Linked DNA regions of Drosophila melanogaster. The protein of the gene in region 1 interacts with the protein of each later gene in a pairwise test. Each region holds a gene or a part of one and is shown on either strand. Other genes may lie near its edges. The genes, in order: CG32809, CaMKII and CG42788.

What was found.
Region 2: the proteins of CG32809 (region 1) and CaMKII interact in a two-hybrid assay, tested with the Drosophila melanogaster proteins (one large-scale study listed by BioGRID).
Region 3: the proteins of CG32809 (region 1) and CG42788 interact in a two-hybrid assay, tested with the Drosophila melanogaster proteins (one large-scale study listed by BioGRID).

The regions. Positions count from the first base shown.
Region 1 is NC_004354.4:1,688,159-1,696,156, forward strand, and holds the start of CG32809 (uncharacterized protein), read right to left. Parts: upstream 4,611-7,998; 5' UTR 4,281-4,610; exon of another isoform or gene 4,139-4,280; intron 3,200-4,138; 5' UTR 3,155-3,199; coding exon 3,049-3,154; intron 2,976-3,048; coding exon of another isoform or gene 2,973-2,975; coding exon 2,922-2,972; intron 2,855-2,921; coding exon 2,715-2,854; intron 2,651-2,714; coding exon 2,042-2,650; intron 2,030-2,041; exon of another isoform or gene 1,721-2,029; coding exon of another isoform or gene 1,022-1,720; intron 966-1,021; coding exon of another isoform or gene 744-965; intron 612-743; coding exon of another isoform or gene 491-611; intron 417-490; coding exon of another isoform or gene 323-416; intron 1-322. Other genes in the region: b6, read left to right, coding at 323-416, 491-611, 744-965, 1,022-1,720; a6, read right to left, coding at 6,085-7,314.
Region 2 is NC_004353.4:1,046,373-1,054,209, reverse strand, and holds the start of CaMKII (Calcium/calmodulin-dependent protein kinase II), read left to right. Parts: upstream 1-2,831; 5' UTR 2,832-2,867; exon of another isoform or gene 2,868-3,516; intron 3,517-3,600; 5' UTR 3,601-3,690; coding exon 3,691-3,755; intron 3,756-3,817; coding exon 3,818-3,912; intron 3,913-4,963; coding exon 4,964-5,023; intron 5,024-5,651; coding exon 5,652-5,706; intron 5,707-6,061; coding exon 6,062-6,387; intron 6,388-6,480; coding exon 6,481-6,575; intron 6,576-6,634; coding exon 6,635-6,757; intron 6,758-6,819; coding exon 6,820-6,946; intron 6,947-7,837. UniProt on the Drosophila melanogaster protein: A key regulator of plasticity in synaptic physiology and behavior, alterations in its activity produce pleiotrophic effects that involve synaptic transmission and development as well as various aspects of behavior. Directly modulates eag potassium channels.
Region 3 is NT_033777.3:15,127,856-15,135,958, forward strand, and holds the start of CG42788 (uncharacterized protein), read right to left. Parts: upstream 4,072-8,103; 5' UTR 3,753-4,071; intron 3,005-3,752; exon of another isoform or gene 2,899-3,004; intron 1-2,898. Other genes in the region: CG6912 (uncharacterized protein), read right to left, coding at 7,330-7,523, 7,644-8,103.

The DNA.
Region 1 (7,998 bases):
TTTAAATGTATGCATATCACATGTTGCCAGCGTAACAGGATTTGCCGCATGCCGGTTGTATAACCAACCGCCTGGCTCACCGCTTGGGCGGGTTTCCTGATCGCATCTGATCACCGATGGGGGGATTCCTCGTGGCTCGTGAGATGACTAGTTGCCTAGCGAAACGTTCTGGCCATTGAGCCATCGAGTTGTTGGTAGTAGTTGGGAACGCTGCTCCACTCAGTTTCGCAATCTGAGCCGCCGTTACCATTATTGGCATGAAAGCGAGTCTCAAAGCCAATCTGATCCACTTATGCATCCACATCCACATTCACACTTGCAGCTGGAAAGGAACCACGCGAGGTGCAAATCTGGGTCGCAAATGCGCAGAATTCCAGTTTCCTTTCGATGGCCATAAAAGGTCAGCAAATGTACAGGTAAGTCTAGACGCAACCATCCATCGATCAATCCGGCGTCAATCCGTCGAATCTTTATCGTTTTTCTGCTCAAGATTGAACTACCCGTTGAAAATGCGCCAGTGGCATCACATGTGCAGCTCGTGGAATGGCAAGACGGGCGAGTGGCAGGCCTGGCTGAAGGCAGAACGCATTGGGCGTGGTTTCCACAACTCGGTGAGTTTGACTCCATTTGACTCCAATTACGCATATTGCAAAATGCCTTGTTCGCGTTTTCACTTTCGGCGTGCGAATGTCAGCTGCTATAATCTCAAATCTCCGTCTCCACTTAATTCTTAATTGCTTCAGTTGGTGGGACATAAAATCCCAGCGAATGGCAAGCTGCGCTCCGGCGGCAGTTCGGTCACCGGCGAGGTGAGCCACGGCCTCCACTTCGAGATGACGCTCGTCCAGGTCTATCGGGTGGCGCTCAGTGCAGGCAAGGCGCATCGCGACCACAAGCACCACCATGTCCACCACTTTGATCACGAGGGCCAGGAGGTCTCCAGCACCACTCGTGCCCCACCCTCGGTAAGTTCGTAACCAGTGCCCACGGAGACAATATAACACGCCAGACCTCCATTCAGATTAATCGTCCTCAACCCATGCACACGCTGCTCGCCAGTGGCCAGATCCCGACCCGGGTGCGCATCAACTTGGCCAATCCGCCGCCGACTGCAAGTGGTGCTCCCGCTCCTGGCGCGGCCGGAGCTCCGACCGATTCCGCCCAGCAGGCCATCACCATCAACACAAATTTTGTGAACGGACAGATAAACGCGGGATCGCGACTGGTGGCCCAGCAACTCCTTGGCCTCTCGCCGCCGAGCGGATTGCAGCCTAGTGGCGGTGGCAAACGCTTCCAAATGCTAAGTAACTCAGCCAACGTGCAGTTCATCGACGAAACGGAGACCCACATCCAGTTCAAGAGGAACACCGACGCCACTAAGAAGGTTCAGAAGCGCGGCCTGGTGCTGCTGGACGATGGATCTGTGGTGGACGACGGTGTCGGTTCCGGAACGGATGGGAGCTTGATTTACAACGGTCTCGCCGACTTTGGCGGACAGCAATTTAAGCAGGATCTTACGCTCAAGATGAGCCTGGAGGAGGAGATCAGCACGCACGACCGAGAGCCCGCCGAGGAGGAGGTAAGGGCCGTGATGGCCATCTGTAGCAGCTGCCACACGGAGCCTTTCCAGGGTGCCATCGTGTTTTCGTGGAAGGATGTGCGCGAGCACATGAACAACGCCCTCAAGGGCCTCAGTGTGGGTCCATGTGGTAACTTCTAGTTGTTCCCAAAGTTCGGATAACATTCTAGTGTCCTAGGACCCCAGCTTAAGCTTTCCCAGCCCCACCCCATTATTTCCATATCTTTTTTTTTTCTATATATGTACGAATAAGTATTCGATTGGTTGGGCATCTTGTGCCACAATTGTCCATGTGGGAGTCAACGCTTTACTGTTGCCACCCATTTGGCCACCAAACAATCCTTGACTCGCTCATGGACACCAATCCATCCTGCTTCCCTAAGCCCTACATCCTCACCCTAGCAATTACGCGGTGATATTGAATAAAGGACTATTTAACTGATACCATCTAGCAGCACTTACCTTTGATTTGTGGATATGCTGGTGCTTGTAGTCCGAGTCGAACTCCGGCTCGCTGAAGTAGCTCTGATCCTGATCCCAATTGGCCTGCGCCTGCGGCAGGGGTTGGGGTATTCCAGGGCCGCCGGGCAGAATCTGGGGCGGGGCTGCCACCTCAGTGGACTCAAAGAGACGCAGCACGGAGCGATCCCTGATCTCGCGCAGATGCGAGCGCACGTCCTCCAGCTCGTAGAACATATCCTTGCTGGCATCGTGAATGTAAATCTTCACATTGGGCCCCTCCAGATATGACATGGTCAACTGGCGCGGAAACGAGCGTACGAACAGGGCGCGCACCGTATCAATCGAAGTGATCTCGTTGGGCAGCAGGGCGCGCTTCGTCTCCGAGCGGTACTGCAGAAAGACCAGGCCCAGCGGTCGTTCCAGAGTTTTCGAGGGCGTGCGTACCACGGGGAGCGAGGAGCGCTGCTTGCCGCCCCTCCGGAATCCGGTGCTGGCCGTTTCCACCTCCGACATGATGCCGGGATCGTCGTCGAACAGCGGTCCCTGGTTAACAGGCGCATAACCGCGCATCGGCTGGTTCTTTTTGTTCTTCTGCGCGCGCGTACTCATCTAAGAAGGGACAAGAATCAGAAACTGATGGTAGAAACGAGTTGAGATGGGAGATGGAGCTCACCTCCAGATCCATGGCCCGCTGTTGCTGGGGCGCCATCTGATGGGCGTGTGGATGCTGCGAGCCGTAGACCAGCATATCGCCGCCGAGCGTATGTCGTCGTGGATCGTCGCGTCGCATGGCTCGTCGTCTTTCGTCGCCACCTGGGGAAACACATAGACACTGAGGATGGGGCTACAGATCCGTGGACGTCTTTGGTCCTTAACATACCCTGTTCATTCGACGGAAGCCGTCCCGACTTTGCCTCATTCTGCCAGTCTTCTTCTGAAAGAGAGGGAGCTGGAGTTAGGCTCATTTCATTTCGCTTCCTTCCGATTTATGGATTCCGATTACTTACCGCCCTCTCTACCCTTGCGCTTCTTCTTCGACGAGGAGCTGCTGCTGCCGCCGACGCTCTGGTTGGAGGAGGCGCTCTTGTCCTTACTCTTCCAACGGATCAACATCCTGCAGCCGTTTGAGATGTGCGGAGCTCAGTGGCTATGTTGCAGCTGCAGAAAATGAGAGACAACGGGGCGTATGGGTAACGTGAAAATGTCCTTATTTTTTTGGTCTTTGTTTACGTTTGGTACCGGCAACAACACGCTAAACCGCACACACACAACATGCAACTTTGGTGTAGATAAACCATGTATCCTCGCACATTCTTTAACAGGGTGTGGTGGAATGGAGTGGAGCCTCGCAGTGGCAGTGCCAGTGCTCAATGCAAAAAGTATGCAACGGAGTGCGCAAACTCTGCTCTGCAACACGGAATGGAGCAAGAAAGCAGGACAGAGCGGAAGGCGTGACTGGAGCTGGATCTGGAACTGCATGCGGATCTGGATCGGGACCCCAGAAATGCGGCTGGCAGAACAGACAATAGTGTTGGCCGAATACAATTGTTCATCGCAGTTGCCATTAAGATGCCATTTGCTGAGAGAACACGAATCACTTTCGAATTTGTTTTGCATATGTAAACGTTTTTGGAGTTGGAAGTTGCTTTAAACAAGGCATGTCAAGTTATTTTGGCTGCATGTACATGTTTATCTCGAGCAAGAAATCCGAGGAAGGGGCACCAAAAGGAAACGGACGCAGAGATGGGTACACACGAAACATGGTATACTTTTCAGTGCAGCACTTCACGGGTTTTAGTATGCCTTTGCCTTTGCCAGTGCCAGTGCCTGGGAATATGTACACAGCCACCCACATTCACTGCCCATCGGCATTATTGCGGGCCACTAAAGGAATTTTTGATTAGTTTTAGGTGCGGTGCCCCGGCCCGTTTTTTCCCAGCCGCCATTAATTGTGTCAGTTGCGTCCAGTTTCCAGGGCACGAGTGCACATTAAACACGGTGGAGGGGAGCTCGTGTCTGTTGACTTTTCCACACACGTCAGCGGTCAGTTGGCTGGATTCCTTTGGGTTTTCATGGGGGATCTCGTCCTAGCTGTACCTTGTATACCTATGCACCTTTGGGGGTGTGTGGGCGGTTCACCGGCGATGTTTCTGGCATTTTCTCAAACCGCACTTGCCTTGCCGATTCAGGAAGGTTTCACAATTAACGGGTCTAGGTGCTCATAGCTCGAGGAGCTCACCGATTTAGCCGTGTCCTTAGGATAAAGATTCGATTCAATTCGCTTCGCTTTGCACTCGTCACTACACAGCTTTCTGGAGTCAGGACACGGCACTCGTCCACCGACGCAGCATAACGCCAGAAGAGCAGAAATATTTCTGGTATATCTACACCGGAAAGCGTTTCCGCCCTAGCCGAACGAGGACTGCGTGCTTGCACGGCGCATGCGTTACCAATCGAGTGTTCCCGGACCAGCGAAGTTCCCTGGCATCCAGCCGTCAGAGGTCCTGGCATCCCTGCATTCCGACGCTGCTCTGTTGTGTGTGTTTACCTGGTGCCGGGGCAATCGAGTAATTTTCTTGGCGGTTGAGCGCATGTGGCTATCGAATGGCTCCAATCGATTACTGGGCGGAAGGCCTTTAAAAACAGGTGACGAAACACATGCTTGTCCTGCGCCGGCTTGTTTATCCGGGAGTAGCCAGGATTCCAGCGGATGTCTGGGCCCGCAGCCACGCCCTGGTGGAGTTTCCCGGCCAGTGGCCTCGCTGTGAGCAGCACCAGTTTGAATCGGACATGCGGGTCATCAGGGACTTCATCACTGCGAAGGAGGAGCAACTACTGATGCGGGAAATCGAGCCTCACATCAGCCGCTTGCCGTACGAGTTGAGCCACTGTGATGACGTGGGTGGGTATATATAGAGACTATATAGTATCGGATTTCTGGCTAAACTTCTTAAACTTCGCAGGCAGATACCGCGAAGTTGAACGCCGAAAGTGGACTCCCCAAAACCAGGCCACGCTGGATCACGTCTCGTGAGTTTCCTTCGGTGAGCAGGTCATGCCCTTCGTGCACATCCTGGACTTGGCTGACTCTGGCGCGATCAAGCCGCACGTGGACAACACTCGAGTGAGTTTGGCCACAGAAGATGCAACTCGATTTCATTTTCATTTACGATTGTATTCGACAGTTTTGCGGCAACACCACTGCGGGCATTAGCATGCTCAGCGACTGAAGCGCGTGACCAAGGATCCCATGACTTTGTCAGCCACTCTGAGGATCTGCTCCTGCCGCAACTCTCGCTCTATATTAAGAGTGCCCTAGCGCGATACGAGTTCACCCACGAAATCCTGGCCAGAGATCAGTCGTGGTTCAAGGAGCGCTTGGTCGAAACGAACCTTGATGGCATACGCATAGTTTCCTTTTCTCACAGCTGGTGTACATGTATATATATATATATATACAATGAAAATTTATTCCGGTTTGGTGATCAGCTAATGTAATACAGACGGCGGACTGCGACGGATTACACGACGTGATTCAGCCATGTAATATATGATACACTAAATCAAATGTACATATACATAGTATATCTTAAGCTAGCTACTTGTACTTTATAAATATTGGGCTCACCTTTCTCACTCGCTTCAAATTTTCTACTCCCTCTTATAATCTTTTGAAATTTGTGTTTTTTGCTCAACAATGTATATGGGTTGATGCTTTTCTACTTTCATTTGTACGTTGTCGTCTCGTTTCATTTAAAGCTTAAAATATGAGAATGACAGAGACAGGGAGATTAATGGGCAACTGAGTGAGATGGAGAGAAGGTGCTTGGGAAAGGGGAAGGATACAAAAATCGACCGGACAAGGACTAGTCCTGGATTCAAGGATAACTGGGAAATAGTGATGTGTTGTCGCTAAACCTACGTTCATATTTGCACTTCTAGCCACTGCTAGTTAAAGTCTATGCCGTGCTTCCGGCTCGGGGAATGATATTATGGCGATGGGGACTCGGTTCTGGCGGGTCATCGGTCATCAGTCATCCAGCTCATCCCAGTTTTCGGCGCCGCGGCAGCTGCAGCGGCAAGGCAACAACGGAAGCAGACGAGGTCGGATTTGCTGCCATCACCGGAAGGGCAAGAGCCACTGGAGCTGCGAGTCCGCCGCCGACGTACTGCAGATGCTGCACCACCGAGAGCTGTGGCTGCTGCTGCTTGAGCAGCTTGGCGGCAGCGTGTGCCTCCGCCGCAGCCACCACGACGGGGTGCACCGGTTCGGTGCCGACTCCTCCGTTGACATGTGGACCGGTGCTTTCGCAATCGTCTTCGTCTGAGATCAGTGATATGCTGAGGTCGCTGGACAGTTTTAGGGAGATGGGCGTGGGCGGCGAGGGAGCCACCAAGGGCGCCACTTTGGCGCGCAATGCCGGTGACAGTTTCTGCAGCTGCTCCGGCATCAGGTCGTTCGTGTATTCCGGCACTCCACTAAAAGCCAGGCCTTCGCGTAGTTTGCTCAGCGAGAGTTCGTAAATACGGTTTGCGATGACCGTGTGAACGGTCGTCTCGTCCGGCAGCGTGGCTGTGATGCCTCCGCCCACGTCCACCTCCAGAAAACAGCCCGTTTCATTGCCGCCCTCTCCGCCTTCGGCGGTGGCGAATCCATTGCTGGCCGCCGTCGACGCTCGACACGGCTTGGGGTGACCTGACACCCGCGTCAGGCAGTTGGCAGTGGTGGAGGTGCGCGGCACCAACGAAACAGTTACCTCTTCGATGGTCTCCGACTGTGTGAGCGGTGCGAGCGGTGGCGGTGAGCGCATGGAGAGCTGGGAGCGCACTCTTGCCGTGCTGCTGGGTTCCTGCTCGTTGTGCTCGTCATCGCTGGTTATCAGGATGCTGTCGGTCACTGGGTATGAGTGGGTGGCAGCTCTGCGCGGCGCCTGCCTTCTGCCCGTTCTATGTGCTCGGTGCCCTGGGGCAGGAATCAGGAGGCGATTGTGGCCAGCTGCAGCGGGCTGTCCGGCCGATGGGGTCTCATCGTCATCCGACAGCAGGTCGATGGTCACGTCCGGCTGCAAAGTGGAGGCGACATGGCGCCGCTGCAGATGGGACAGCTGCCGGTCAGTCTTGGAGGCGAGAGCCACTTGGTCGCGCATCCGGGCCATGCAGATCCGCTGGTGCTCAAGCAGGCGTTCCATCCACCGACAGCGGCGCCGCTTGAGACGACGGTTGTCGAACAGCCGGGGCGATATGTAGAATGGTTCGGAATGTTTCTGGTTCATGTCTATAGGCGGCAGGAGAAGAGTTAGTCTGTGACGCCTGGTCGGCCACTGGTGGGCACCTATTTACCGAGTGTGTGGACTCGTCTTCTAGCGGTGGCGGTGCCTGCCACGGGTTGTCAAGGGTCATGGGCTCGGGCCCGTGGGGCTCCTCCTCCTCCTCCTCTTGCTGTTCCACTGGCGGCGAGTACAGTTAGATCCACTGCTGCAACTTGCATAATTGCGTGGCGGCGCAGGGGGATTTCCTTGAGAGGAGCGGAGGCGCGGGACTAGGCGCTGCGCCTCCCGCCGCTGGACATGCCGAGATGCGAGCGGGGCCGAGATGGTTGTTTTTTCGCGCGGCAGCTGCTTAATTTGTGCTTTTGTTGTACTTTAGAGTTCTGTTTATAAAACTGCATCGATAAGCGACCACACATCGATAACGCTTCTCTCGATAGTCCACGCTGCGTGCAACCGTGCACGTCGACTGGCCAAACAGTATCTGTCGGTAGTTATCGATAATGCATTCGCCACTTGGGCGCGCTATTTAAAATCAGCTAGAGAAAATAATGAAGCTTCGAAGCAAAGGACAGAAGGATACAAGTGCTTTGGATCACCAGCAAATCCAGCGACTTGGACACCAGGTAGCCCCGATAAAATTCCTATTAAGTAAAACACTCTTATCTCAAGACAAAGCACTCAAGCTAA
Region 2 (7,837 bases), on another chromosome or scaffold:
CGGCTAATGTAATCATACCTTGTGCGTTTCAGATATCAGTTTTAAATTCTAATTCATTTGTAAATTGAAGAGCTCCAACAGACTGAAATGAAATGATTACAAATTAAGGATTTCATTTATTTTACTTTAAATAAAATTAAATTTAAATTTAAATATTTATTTTTCTTTTTGTAACATTTTAGGTCACGGTGCGCATGACAAAGTGTTGTGAAACGTTGGTTTGAGTACTTATTAGTCTAACTATGGAGCATTTATGTGGGCAGTTTTATGGAATCACGGCCTAAAATAAAAAGATAATATGAAATATATTACTTTAGAGTTCCAATCAACCCAATAATGTTTAATGCGGAGGTAGTTCAGTATAGTGATATGTGCACAAATTAATGCGCAGACGCTCCTGAAACGAACCGTCGTTGGCAAAAGTTTTCGATTTAACGACATTATGAGACGAAAAAGCTTTTCTCTCTAGCAGTTCATCGAATCAAACGCGGCCGCAAAATCTTGTTAGTCAGTATTGAATTCGATTTTCAAGAAAACAGACGTTCTAAAAATTTCGGTATCTAGCTGTGTGTTTCGTGTTCTCCCAGCTCGTTAAAAACATATACATATAGCTTTTTAAATACTCTTATAAGCATTTTGAACAAACATTTATCAGATCTCCTGAAGTTTAAAATATTGTTATTCGCAATTGAAAAGAACACATCAAGTATAGGTATCAAATTGGATTTAATATACATACATATGTACTCACTTATGTATTTTTATATATATGTATATTTATATAAGTTTACGTATCTATAATACCTGATACAATTCTGGGTCAACACAGATTCTAATATATACATGAGTATACACATATACATATATTTGATATATGTATGGTCTCTTACTGTGTATATGCCAACTAATATTAAATACTTTTTTCGCGCGTATAACGATTGCATATTGTAAAGTTAATATATATATTCACACGCTTCACTTATATCTTAAAAGGACATTTATACAACATCAGTATGTACCCCATTTTGTGCCTTTGTTCAGTTACGCAGTAAATATAAATATATGACACTTAAAAATTTTGTAATTGTTATTGCACAATATACATACATCTTACAAATTACTCTTGATATCTACAAGAAAGTTTAAAACATACCTAAATACTTACGAGTTATGATAAATGCTTTTTTTTTAATTTTAAAAAAGTGTTTCACATTCTATATATCGTCCCTCCTAGTCCGAAAAATGGGTTTAGTAAAACATTTCTGAAGGTCTCATCCAAATAGTATATTTAATTCGCGTACATAGCGCGTGTTTATATGATTTAATGAAAAAGTATAATTTGCAACAAGTAATTTCCAAGACCCTGAAATATCCTTGCTAAAAGGGGTGGGGCGTTTTACCATTAAGCTCATCAAAAAAAGCTTCAACGCATGTAACCTGCAAAGGATACATACCTACATATATATGTACGTATATATATAACTGCTTCCCAGATACATTCTCATAATCAGGATTTTCTTTTTTAAGAAATTAACCAAAAACACCTGTCGCTTTTTTTAATTGATTGAAATATGTCAATGAGAGTTAAATATATCTGGTTTAAAACAAAGATAATAAAGTTTTGATCACAAATTTTAAACTTTTCGTAACATTTGACTTGACAATATTATATTATAAGTATGTTATTTCAAAATTGCGAGGGTGCAATTAAGGGTCTACATATACCTTTTCCAGGGAAACACTTCTTTTTCATGGTGATTGGGTCTAGTTTTAAAAAAACACGTACAACAAACTAAAAACTAACAGTACCGCTGTTACCGGATATGGCAAAAAACAAACCTCACGGAGAGGTATAAAACAAGAGAGAACGTGACAGTAGTTCATCGACTATTTAACAACCCGACAGAAATGTGCAAAATAAAAGAATAAATAAAAATAATGAAACAAAAAAACAAAACACTTTGTAAATGTGTGGGCAAAATCGAAATAAAAGATTTCAAGACTGAAAGAAGCAAATTATTTTTCAAAAAAATTGGAGTTACAGTTTTAGGCGGATTAAATGTCTGGTTCTCAAGAAAACAAATTTGCATGCTTTATCCCATGCCTGTCGTCCGTATCAACGCTGTTACCGCTGAAACTATAATAACTGGAAAGTAAAACGAAAAAATAATTTCCATTTTTTATTCCTTTACTCAATACGTAATATAGGTTAATAGTAATGATTGTTGCTGCTCTTGATCAGCTGGCTATCACACTAGCTTCGTTGAAAAGTATGTAACTTGCAGAACGACGCGTTTCCGAGCGTTTAAACTATATATAGTCTTCACCAGGATCAATAGCCGAGTCGAATTTTCATGTCCGTCTATCTGTATGAACTCCACGATCTCAGGAACTATAAAAGCTAGAAAGTTAAGATTGTGCCATGCCCTTTTTAAGTTTTCGTTTATTTTTTTTCAAAAAATTGTTGAAATTGTTTTGCCAATTTTAATCGGTACGCCAGAAAAATGTTTAATATTCTCGTTCATACTTCCACTAGCTGAGTAACAATTATCTGATAGTCGAAAAGCTTTACTATAGCGTTTTCTCTTGTTTTAATTCTGCAATGGATTCGTATTTTTTCAGGGCCATAGTTTAATTTGATATTGAAAACGCCACTGAGTGGTTGATATGCATATCGATGTAAGGCCCGTTTACACTGCACTAACCGCGGAGTTATGGTTTTACATATGTAGATACCTTTGCTATTTTGATGTGCATGGGGAACAGTTAAGTGTAGCTTTGGTAAGGAGTTGACCCCTATGTTTAATAATCGAGTTTATTACATTTTTCGTCTATCGAATGTCATGTCATCTCTAGGCAACAACAAGGTATCAGATTCAACGTTTGAGATAGGATAATACATTTTCAGACATTTTTCAATTTGTGCCCCCGCACATGTTGTTTCTTGCGAAGTATGGTGTTTTTTCGTATGATTTCATGATCACATGAAAAAACTTCAACCACCAAAATCTTCAAAATGGAGGTCGAGTTTTCTAGTTTAAGCAACGTGCTTTAAGAGAACTCACTTGAATTACCAACTCAATAAGAAACCTGCGGCTGTTTAAAATAACATAACCCTTATATTATTACAAACCATTTAAAATTTGAAGAACTATATGTAGATTGCTGGTCTGTTTTGCATCGACTCCACTGAGTAATATAGAATTTTAAAATTGGAATAGCGAGACATTCTTTTAATTTTACCGATATGTGTTTCTATGAAATAAGTTACCTAATCTGTGCTCTGAATACTTCTGAATTACATTGGCGAGCTTTACTTTACGAGCTTCATGCCCGATCTTATACAGAGAAGAATGCAAGTTTATACTATGATGGCCGGGGGATTCTCAAATACATGCAGTACCCCTTTGGATACCATAGAACCAACGCTGTCTGAAACTTTTGAACCAGCTAGTGATTACTTTATAACAAAATAATATTTAGAGAAGGCCCATGGTACCTAAATGGTACAACAATGTATGTATGTTTGTACGTTGTAAGCAATTTTTTGTATAATTTTTGTAAAACTGATTTATTATCTTATATTTAAAAATCGTTTAGAAAACAAGAAATAAAACTCCTGAAAAGTGAAATCTGTAGAGCAGTTGAAGATCTTTAGTCGCAATAGATTTTCTTAAGTGTGCCATCGCGATGGCTGCACCAGCAGCCTGTACGCGTTTTTCGGACAATTACGACATCAAAGAAGAGTTGGGAAAGTAAGTTTAACAAACTCAAGGTTAATAAATTTATTATAATAACCCGTCTATTAACATTTCAGAGGAGCATTCTCAATTGTGAAAAGATGTGTCCAAAAGTCAACTGGCTTTGAATTTGCTGCAAAAATTATCAATACAAAAAAATTAACTGCCAGAGGTAAGGCTTTCTGTGTTCTATGTAGGTTATAAATCACATATGTACGCATTTATGCTATGCACACGCATGTAGGGAAACTAAGTGCTGTTTTTAGGTAATTCGTCGAGTACAGTAAAAGGGTATACTAGATCCTTGATCCTTGGAAAGTATGTATATTCTTGATCAGGATCAATAGCCGAGTCCGTCTCTCCGTATGGTCGTCGAGATCTCAGAAACTATACAAGCTAGAAGGCATACAGATTTTAGAAACAAATACGCAGCGCAAGTTTGTTGACCCATGTTGCCACATGCGCCACGCCCTCACTTTTGAAAAATGTGTTGATATTTTTTCACATTTGTATTGGTCTTGTAAATTTCTATCGATTTGCTCAAAAAAAAGTTTGCCACGCCCATTCTAACGCCCTTTAACTTCTATCGATTTGCTTAAAAGCCGCCAACCGGTCACGTCCACACTTTGGACCAATTTTTAAACTTTTTTCTTATTTTATTCCCCAATATCTATCGTTATCCTAGAAAAATGATGAAATTTCGCGTTCCCATTCACACTAGCTGAGTAACTGGTATCTGATGCCGTTTTTTCAACGGCGATATGGCATATCGTAAGAAATCAGTAGTAAACATTGACTGTCAAAAAGTTTTCCTGTAAAATGTACTTTCTTTTTGCTAAGTACGCTTTTGGAAGGGACCATTCTTTTTGTGTAATATCTTCGTCGTCCCTATCTATTTGCCACACAAGTATCAAATAGTTCTACAGTAATTAAGTTGTATTTCTTGGTGTTGTGCTATTTAGTAATTAATAAATTTTTACTGCCAAGACGTGGCCAAAATAATTTTGGAATAGCAGTATTGGCAAAGTGTGTAATTTACAAAAAATATATTAAATAACTTTTAAGAAGTTTGAGCATGACAGCTGGGACAAATTTTGGGCTTAGAGAGAACCATTTGCTTGCTCGCCAAAAACCTCTTATTAACATATTTGTACACATGCATGTATGCATATAAGAGATGCTTATAATATATATATATATATATTTTTTTTTTTTGCTTTTAGACTTTCAAAAACTGGAACGTGAAGCAAGGATCTGCAGAAAGTTACACCATCCCAACATAGGTATGCAACGTGTATATAAATATAATTTACTTACTTATTCTTTAAAGATACGTTTTTCTGAAGATGTATGATCTACATAAAAGTAGACGAACATGGCCTAATATCACTTTGAACATCTACTATACATAATTTTTATATGTACATTCAATCACGGCTTAGACCCCAGTAGTGTTGATGACTTGCAATGTGATCCTGATAAAGGATGGTTTGACGTCCACGGTAACACAACGAAGAAAAAAATAAAATAGAGTTTAGTAGATATATCAATCCGCATCTGCAAGCAACATTCCATTCCTCGCCCTCCCTACTCTCCAATAACAAATCTTCCAAGTAATTTATAATTATAATAATTATAAAAACTTGCAGAACAGCAAAAACCGAACTCATGCAATAGACTTTCCTCTCACTAAAAGCGTAACCTAACAAAACAGTTATTTACACGGACAGTTCAAATCTAGAAACATCACTTCCTCCAGCGTCACCGACAAAATATATAATATGTTCAAAATGTATTTTATAAACATATATTTTTATAGCCTTTAAGGCTTATAATCATTGTCATCCGTAAAAAAAAAACATTAAATACAAATGTATACAACTAATAAATTGTTAATATGTACAATTTCAGTGCGGCTACATGACAGTATACAGGAGGAGAACTATCACTACCTTGTTTTTGACCTGTAAGCATTAACCTGCATAGACTCCTTACCAAATATTTAAATTGCCTATCCCCAAAAGTGTTTTAAAAATATGAGTTTCTAACAAATGCTTGTAAATGTGGCAATGACTCGACTATTGTTTATTGAGATTCATACTTCATCCTTTTCCCTCCGTTCGTTCATACTATAATATGAATATGAATCAAATTTTAAAGCCGCAATATAATATATATAATATAATATGAATCAAGTTTTAGCCGCAATATATTTTTGTTATATTAGAGATGTGTTTTCTGCTGTCGCAACTTAAATATAACCTAAATTTAAATTTAGAGCTTCAATCGCAAAATTTGACTATGCCTACATACATTTGCAGTGTAACCGGTGGTGAACTTTTTGAAGATATCGTTGCACGCGAATTTTATTCAGAAGCTGATGCATCACATTGTATTCAACAAATATTGGAATCGGTCAATCACTGCCACCAAAATGGTGTGGTGCACCGAGATCTGAAACCAGAGAATTTACTATTAGCTAGTAAGGCTAAGGGTGCAGCAGTGAAACTCGCTGACTTTGGTCTAGCCATTGAAGTTCAAGGCGATCATCAGGCTTGGTTTGGATTTGCCGGCACACCAGGATATCTGTCTCCTGAGGTATTGAAAAAGGAGCCCTATGGGAAATCGGTAGACATATGGGCATGTGGTAAGCAATTATAATTGTTGTAACATTTGCATGCACATGCATGCCAAACGGCAGTCGGTTACACAGTTCAACAACTATTTTATTTTTCCTCAGGAGTTATTCTTTACATACTTCTTGTCGGTTATCCACCCTTTTGGGATGAAGATCAGCACCGACTGTACTCGCAGATAAAAGCGGGAGCTTATGATGTACGGAAACTATAATAATTTATGTGGATTCATTATATTTAAATATAACTTTATTTTAGTATCCGTCTCCAGAATGGGATACGGTTACTCCAGAAGCTAAAAATCTTATTAATCAAATGCTAACCGTTAATCCAAATAAACGAATAACTGCAGCTGAGGCTTTAAAACATCCGTGGATTTGTGTAAGTGCAGACTAATTTTTCTCTTAGGTTTACATAAAGATAATGAAAAAACATTGTTACAGCAACGCGAACGTGTGGCTTCCGTTGTGCATCGCCAAGAAACCGTAGACTGTCTCAAGAAATTTAATGCGCGGCGCAAGCTAAAGGGAGCCATACTTACGACAATGTTGGCGACCAGAAATTTTTCGAGTATGTAACTTAACTTAATTAATCTTGACCACATCAATATACTTGGCGTCAACACAAAAATATACAAAAAGAATAATAAAAACGCTATGGCCGATTTCGTTGACAATTATATACCCGTTATTCAGCTTGTAGGATTGATATAAATATATTTAACTTCGTATAAAAAATACCCTTTACTCGTAGAGTAAAAAGGTAGACTATATTGTTTGAAAAGTATGTAACAAGCAGAAAGAAGCGTTTCCGAGCATAAATAGAATAATATTCTCGATCAGGATCAATAGTAGAGTCGATCTGGAACTGTCCGTCCGTATGAACGTTGAGATCTTAGGAACTATAAAAACAAGAAGGTTGAGATTACGCAACCTTTATTGATCCATATAAACACTCTAACGACCACAAACCGTACAAAACTGCGACGCCCAAACTTTTGAAAAATGTGTAGATATTTTTTCACATTTGTATTAGTCTTGTAAATTTTTTATCGATTTGCAGAAAAAATTGAGACCTCGTTCATACGGACATGGCCAGATCGAGTCGGGTATTGATCCTGATCGAGAATATACAGTTGCGGTAACAAAATAGCACCATAAGCACATTTTGTGTTTGTCCCAGCGTTTCTCCATTTTCTGAAACTTTTTCAAAAAAAATAATTGTTAAAACAAAAAAAACCTTCAAATTTAGGCGGTAACAAAAATATAACTGTTCCTCGTAGTTTGCTAAAACTAACCAAAAAAATAAAAAAATAATTCAACAAATGGATTATATCTTAAGAACTATGTTTAAAGAATCTTAATATTTGGTTGCGGGACCGCGCATCGCCCTGGCATAGAGTCCACCAAGTCCTGGCCTAGCTTTTGAGGAATAAAAATGACCAGACCCCAAAGATCGTCG
Region 3 (8,103 bases), on another chromosome or scaffold:
AAACAAAAGCAACAAATAGCATTTAATTGATTTTAAATAGGCTATTTTAAGTGATCGAAAGATTTACTCCGAAGATATTAACCAAATTGGGAATCCCACATATATCAGGAAATTGAACGTGCAGAAATGACAAATCAAAGTAATCGATGACCCTCCACAAGGGTATCAAATGGATGCCAAATGCCTTTACGATTATATATATACTTTTTTTTTATTTTATTTCGGATTTCTTTGTCGCGACTCTGGCCCGCTAAAATTCAAAATCATGGCCATGGCTCCTAGCATGCGATTTCACGTTTTTCGTTATTTTTATTTTTTTTTACGTCTTATGGTCTTTTAGCCCCACATCACAAGTAGAAAACACAATCACAAACACTCCGACCGAGAGACACGCAAATAAATAAATAAACATGGCTGAATAAATGAATATTAAATGGCCAAAAGCTTTGACCAAAAAGCGAAAAAGTGAGGAGGTAAATAAATACAAGTAATAATGGGAAGATAATAAACAAAAACGATATTCGATACGCAAATGGCAGCTAGTGTTTAAATGTTTGCCTGGCTTATCAGTTTCCTTTTTTTGTTTTGTGTTTGGGTTTTGGCATTTGTTTAGCCGAAGTCCGCAGCGGAAACTCAAAGCCTAGGCGCATGCATCCGCAGAATGCGTCAAAGATATTTCGAATTTTGATTGACGACGACAAAAGATTGGACGCCGACGTCATCCAGCAAATATTTCAAAGCTTGAATTTGAACTTCGGGCTTGACGTTGATATTTTTTTCTAATGCCTTTGCCGCCCACGTACGCGGCTAAAGATACAACAGCAAAAAGATACAACTGCGATAGATACTTCTATACACACACACATACATGTACATACATTTATTCAGGCGGGAGCGACGAAACCGCGAGAGCGGAAGCAACTACTTCGACAGCATAGAAGTGTGTGCGACCCAAGGGGGCGTGGCGGGAGGTGGAAACCGGGGGCGATGTGCGAAAGGGGGAGTGACAAGCTTTTGCGGTTTTTAGTTACACCGACCTCAGCTTGTTTGTCGGTACAGTGGGACGAATCGGAGTAAAATCCATACAAAAATATTATTATTAAAACTACTGAATAAAATAATACAACAAATAAATAAATAAAAAATATGAAATAGGTAATATAAGAACATAGTATTAGAAATTACGCATACGTAATACTTGAAAAAACCAAAGAAATTGTTAACATCAGAAGAGACTCATTTTGATTGTCTTAGATAATAAAGATATACCTAAGATGAAACCAAGCTAAAGAGCGGCAATTCCTATATTATTGGTTATCAAAATTATGCCTAGGTATCAATTTATCGCAAGCATCGTCAATCATTTCTTGATACTAATTATTGCATATCAGCATTCCATTCAGCGTCACTTTGTCCCCACTGTCTTTTGCCTTGCGCTATTGTCATTTACTTTGCGGCAAGCAATTACATGCGACAAGCCGAGCGGCAGTTGTTTGTTGTTGTTTTAGCTGTTGCTGCTGCTGCCGTTGATATTTGATGTTTGCAGCTTATGGTTTTTGTAGGCGTGGCCCAGTTTATTGTTGCTGTTGTTGCCGCTGTCGCAGTTCGCCACATTTGGCCGAGAAAATTGATGTCATGCCGACTTCTTTCTGGGCTCTAGCGCGAAAACATGCGTAAAAGGAGCTGCGAAAAGACAACTTCTCTGTCCGACCCAACCCGCTGCGCCCCCAACATGCCACACGCCCACTCTTTGTGTACTTAATGGCTGGTGAAATTAAAATGCCTGCGCAGCAAACAAACATGCACAAACTTTTTCGGCCAGCGAAGGGGTGTGGGTTAGGGTGGCACGATATGTATGTTGGTCGAGCAGGCCACAGCATGGAATAATATTTTTGGCATCCAAAAGTTTTGGTTATCTTAATTGAGGCTAATTTCAAATGAGAATAATATTAAAGCTTTAATTTCATAAAATCTAGTATTAAACTGTTTATGGAACGGATCAATAATGTGCTCTTAAGAAATTCAATCAAATATATTTTCCGCTTGGTCCCAAATCAAAGTATTAATTTGGTTTCATGTAAAAAGGGGGCATCAACCAACTATGGGTGGTGAGTGTTAACGGCGGTGGAGAGGCTGGGAAAAGGAGGGAGCGAGATGGGCTGCGTTTAACAGCGGCGTTGGCAGCAGCACTGGGCGCTTGGCATCTGTCAAACGTGTCATACGCAAAATAGCTTAACTGTCATAAAAACAACAAGTGCGTCAGGCACCGGAGATCGTAAAACGCTTTATTACAATACCCCACCAATTGGAGTGGGGGTACGGCAAATGTGCGGCGACGTTTATGTCTCACAAGTGGGTGAAAGGGGACGGAAAGGAAAGGGAATGGATGGTGGTGTGGGCAAGGTGGGCGAGAGGTAAACACTCGAAATTGCACAGGAATTCCTTGGGCGGTGTTTGTTGATTTACATAATGTTTATCTTTTACGTTTTACCCGATTTGTTTGATTTATTTATGAACTGACCCCAAAACCGACAAGATTTCTGTGTTCCGCGAAATTCTGTTAATATAATTAGTTCACACAGTGTGGATAATATTATAATGACCTTTCCAGCGTAAACTTTTAGATGGCTATATGGATTTAGATGGATATATAAAATATCAATTCAAAGTAAATATAACATCCCCATACAATTTGCAATACAAAATCGACCGTATTTTGGTTTAGTTAAACATTTCATCTATTTATTTCAATTTACCTATTTATTTACTTTCCTCCGCTTATTTGTTTGATTCTCTAATTTATTTATTTAGTATTCTTCCCACTCTCTTCCCCTCTCCCATTTCACCACTTATTTCCGTTTCCTTTCACCCCTTGCCGCTGCGCCATCTTCCTCTTCTGCTGGTCAGAACGCCAACGCCTCGCACAAATACACACGGCCATAGTTTTTTGCTCCATGCACATGGCTGTGTGTGTGTGTGAGCGTTGGGGGTTTTAATAATAGCGCACACACACATTATAAAAGCTCCCGCTGGAGCAGAGAAATGTTGCACTAAAAACTTCAACGCCCGCACTTCTGGCACATATCAAACAGCAAGCAGAAATCACAAAAGCAAATACAAAACTTTCTTGCCAACACACACACTCTCACATTTCGCTTCCCTTTTCAGAGAGAGTTTGTGGGCGGAAGAAAGGGCTGCGGAGGCGCAGGCAGGGGGCGGGGCGGTACTGCCACAATAATAGCCTTGTTGTCTGCGGCAACAGTTATGAAAAGTGCGGAAAAGAGAGGCAGACACATAAAAAACAGGAAGTTTGTTGACTTTTTTTCAATTAACACAAGGGACGGCGAGAAAGAGAGAGAGAGAACAATTCTCTGCTGGGGGAATTGCACAATTTATGGGCTTTTGCACTATGTAAACAAATGCTTATACAACAGTCCCCTATGCTGTTTATTAAATATGATTTTAGTTTTACTTTGCTTTTGCTGTATTGTGTGCGTTTTTCGGCTATTTGTTTAATTTAATATTCTCAATTTGTTGATTTCCTACGATTTAACTTTAACTTTCATGTTCATATTATACTTTTATTTTTATTTATATATATATTAAATAATTTCCACACATAGTTCATTTATTTAGTTTATATTACTTGATGAAAAGTTGAAAACAAAACCCCAACATAAATGCAAATCAAATCGCACGCACACCTGCAACTAACACCCACTCGCACACATACACATACGAGTATAGCGTACCTCTCACAACAACAATTAGTTTGCACCAAAATGCACTGGACGTCGCTGCTGCTGCTCCGCTGCGTCGCTGCTACTGCGCTATAGCCGCCAACGCCGCCACTTTGTTGTTGCCTTTGGGGCTGTTTTACCTTTGTATTTGCAAACACATAAAAACACACACACGCACTCACTTGGCGGCGCCGCTTTCTTTACACATTTTTCAAGCAAACTTTTTTCAAAAGCACACAGAGAGGCAGAAAGGCCCGCTAGACCGCTATTTCCGATTCCAGTTCGAACCCGAATCGACGACCGTCCCGCTCGCGATGCAAAAACACAATGAGACTGGCGCGGCAACAGCTGAAACAAACCCCAAGTGTTATCGATCTATCGACGAAGTGTTATCGACATTGTATACCCGCTATCAAGTTCGGTGCGTGTCTCTGCTAAGTTGGGAGTGTGTACTAGCTATTTAAGGGTAATTTGAAATTCGAAACGGGGACTTCCCGAAAAGGTAATAAGCAGTAATTTAATTTTAATTTAATTTATTTGTGCTTTATCCCTTATATATATATGTACATTTCATTAAAGCTAATGGTATAATTAGGTATTTACAGTGTTTAGCTAAGGCTTTCATCTGAAATATTTATTAATTATGTCTAGTTGACCTGTTTTTAGTTTTTTTTTGTATAACAATATTTATTATTTATTAAGGAAAACAAGGGAGAAGAAAAACCTTAATTGACTTACAACTAACTTAAAAACTAAGACTTGAAACAAAAGATTGTTAATATTGTATTTTTTGTTGAACTTTTTGTACACCTGCTTTTATATGTAGGTACTTAGTGTTTGTGTAATAAGGTAAGTTCATTATTAATTTTAACAGCTTGTTTTGGCATATTTGAAGTTTTTTGATATGAGTTTGAGCACATCTACCCCAAACAGGTGACCCATACATTAATATTGGATTAAAAATTGTTTTAAAAATTATGATCTTATTGGATATTGATAATTTAGATTTACGATTTATTAGAGGGTACAGTGTGCAAATAATTTTATTAACTTTCATAATTGTGTTGTTGATGTGGTATTTAAATGTTAGTTTTTTATCAAAAATTATACCCAAATATCGAATGTTGTCAACCCATTGTATTGGAGAGTCTAGTATTCGCAACTGTCTATCAGGAAGATAACGAGGTTTCCTTCTTTTTGTAAAAAATATATGTACAGGGAGTGTAAGCTTGGAGTGATGTATAGGTTTATGAGGGACTGCTTTAAGAAAGGCATAATTGATTACTCTAGTGAAAGAGCCGATTAAATTATCAATATCCAAAGTCGATATCTGTGAGCAGTTGACAACCACCTCTTCAACCATCAGCCTTTCATTTATAATTCTCTTAAAAAGCGCCCAATTTGCCCTTCCCAAAATCGGATATGTTTTTACATTGCGCATAAAATTTGTAGAGTATTTAATAACCACTGGTAGGTGATCAGAGGAAAGCTCTTGCATTACTGCTGGATTAGCCAGCTGGTTAGGGATATTAGTGAGGCATAGGTCCAATGTTGATGCTTTTGCTTTATGGTTATGCGGAATATATGTGGGTTGCGTAGGGTACAAAATACTGAATTTTCCCAGATCTGAAAGTTCATTGAGAATTTTGCCCCAACCATTGGCTCGGGTACACTTCCATGCTCTGTGGCGCGAGTTGAAGTCCCCGCAAATTAGAAAATTTCCATTTATTTGTGAGATCTTAAGGAGATCAGATCTATACAAACTTTTTAAATGATTATGGTCCCAAGATAAATCACATGAACTAGGAATACATTTTGAAGTATTTCCAGCAAAGTAAATAGAGTAAATTTTTAGACTGGAATTAGAGTCAGTGTTGATTTGTATACCTACATTTTCAATAACATGACTTTTAATGCAGGGTATTTGTTCATGTATCAATGTGTTACTAACTGCAATGGCAACGCCGCCTCCCCTACTTTCCTTCCTGTCATTTCTGTATATAGTGTATTCGGGTATATTAAAACGGTCACTATGAGTCAGCCACGTTTCATTTATAAGTGCTATGTGAATGTGATTATTTTCTAAGAACTTGATCAGTTCTATACGTTTGTTTCTAACGGCACGAGCATTCCATGCCATAATATTCAAATTATCAATAAAATTATTTGTTTGTGTAAACATACTTAATCGCTAACTGAGAAATTACTTGAAATTGCTCTCCCTTATTGGAGCATTCATTAAATCTTGTTATTAATTCAGACAAAAGAGAATTTATCTCTTCACATGAAAAGAGATTAGTTTCACTTGTGATATTTGCTTTGGGATTAGGCAAAGTATGAATATTGGTGAGTGCATTACTATAGCTACCAAAGTTGAGTTGTTGCACTCTCTTAGTTTGAGTAGGCAATGAGATCTGGGGTTGATTTCCAAAGAGAGCAGATGGAGCGATGTGTTGCTTAGAATTCCTCATTCCATGAGCTTCCAAGTTATTTCTTCCAATGCGTTGTGATGAGCGTTTGGAAAGTAAATTGAGATAAGAAATTCGGCATGGGCATGTCAGTTCTGTCGATGGATGGTCGCCTTTACAGTTAGCGCATTTTTTGTTGTTTACGTCCATACATACGGCAGTCTGGTGTGATCCAGCACAATGGGCACATGATGTTTTAACTGAACAATTATTTGATCCATGTCCAAATAGTTGGCAATTGTAGCATTGAGTAATTTTATTCTGCAATTTCACTTTATACTCCCAGCGTACTTTAGTGTGGTTGACATACATAAAGTTTTTGCGCAGTTCCTTTACTGTGATACTTTTGTTTACGAAATAAACAATGTACAGTAATAATTCATGATCAGACTTAGTTTTCTTTTCCACAATTTTGACTTCGGTGCATTGTAATCCTAGGTTTTGTAGCATGGATTTGACAGTTTCAATTGGTAGTTTATCCAGCCCGGATAAAATGGCTTTGTATGGCTTGTTTGATCTAGTATTGTACGTGTAGAACTCACAGTTATGTTCCTTGAGTTGGTTACAAGCTGCATTGAAACAGTCCATATTTGGTAAAAATATTTTAATTCCAATTGAGATGGTTTTAATAAAGTAATCATCAGTTTTAATTTTAGCCATTAGCTCGTGTACAAATTTTGTATTTTGTTTAATTAATGTTATAGGAGGTGGCTTGATTATTATTTCATCAAGTGTGTCCGTTTCAATAGGTTTATCATCATTATCATCGTCTAAAGTTTGTAGTGGACGAAAATAATTTGTAAATTGCTTGGAGCCCCGTTCGTTCTGGCGCTCCACTAGTGGTTTATTCCTTTTAGTACGCATTTTTTCAACGGCAGATGCTTCAGCATCGCCAATTGCATCACTTGAACGTTTGATTGTAGTTTTTTTGCGAATATCACAATTAAAGAAGAAAACAGAAAATATTTAATGTACACCAAAATGTTCTCAGAGAGAATAGAAGATTTTACATCCGCGTTCGACAAGAGCTAGTCGAAGACTGTAATAAGCAGTAATATTAACGTCTTTCTATGTAAGTTAAAGTATGTTTATTTAAGTTGCAGAGAGACAAATTGTTTTAGCTAATAGCACTTCTTGTTGCACCAATCCCAGATACATCCGTCCATTGCATTGCAACCAAATTCTCCAGGATAAATGCCACAAAAGTCCTCGATATTCATGAAGGCACAGCTTCCTTTGGGACAGTAGTAACTGTAGCAGCCCGGTGAGCACTTATCCCGCTGGTGATCCTTGCAGCCGGAGCAATCCAAAATGTCTGTGGAAACACAAGATTGTATTAATGATCCTGAAATACATTTTTTATCCTTATCTCTTCGATAAGTTCGTTAAGCAGATACTCAATGTAAATAATAAAAGAAACGATTTGAAGACTCACCGCTCTCCTTGCAATCCGGCGTGCTGCACGCCAGAAGTGGAGGATTTGGCGGCATGACCACTCGTTTCGCGTTTTCGTCATATACGACCTTCGGTGGCTTGAGATATACCACCGGGGCCGTGCAGACTCTGGAATCGCAGAACTTATTCTCCTTGTTGGAGCACACCCAGTTGGGCGCATAGTTGATGCAGATGCGAGGGCTCTTTACAAAACAGCATTGCGGTGGAGGATGACGCCCCGGAAAGACTTCATTAGCCGCCGACTGTTCCGTAGATGGCCTCAAACTGGGGTATATCCAGGGACGTCTGGTTGTTGTTGTGGCTACGATGTTATCTATAGTATAGTCATAGCTCTTGTCGTTATCGGGATCATAGGGTGCGGATGTAATGTACTCCACACGATTTATATTTTCGCTGGTCACCGAGTACTTGTGCTCATTGTGGATCACATTGTCAATCTC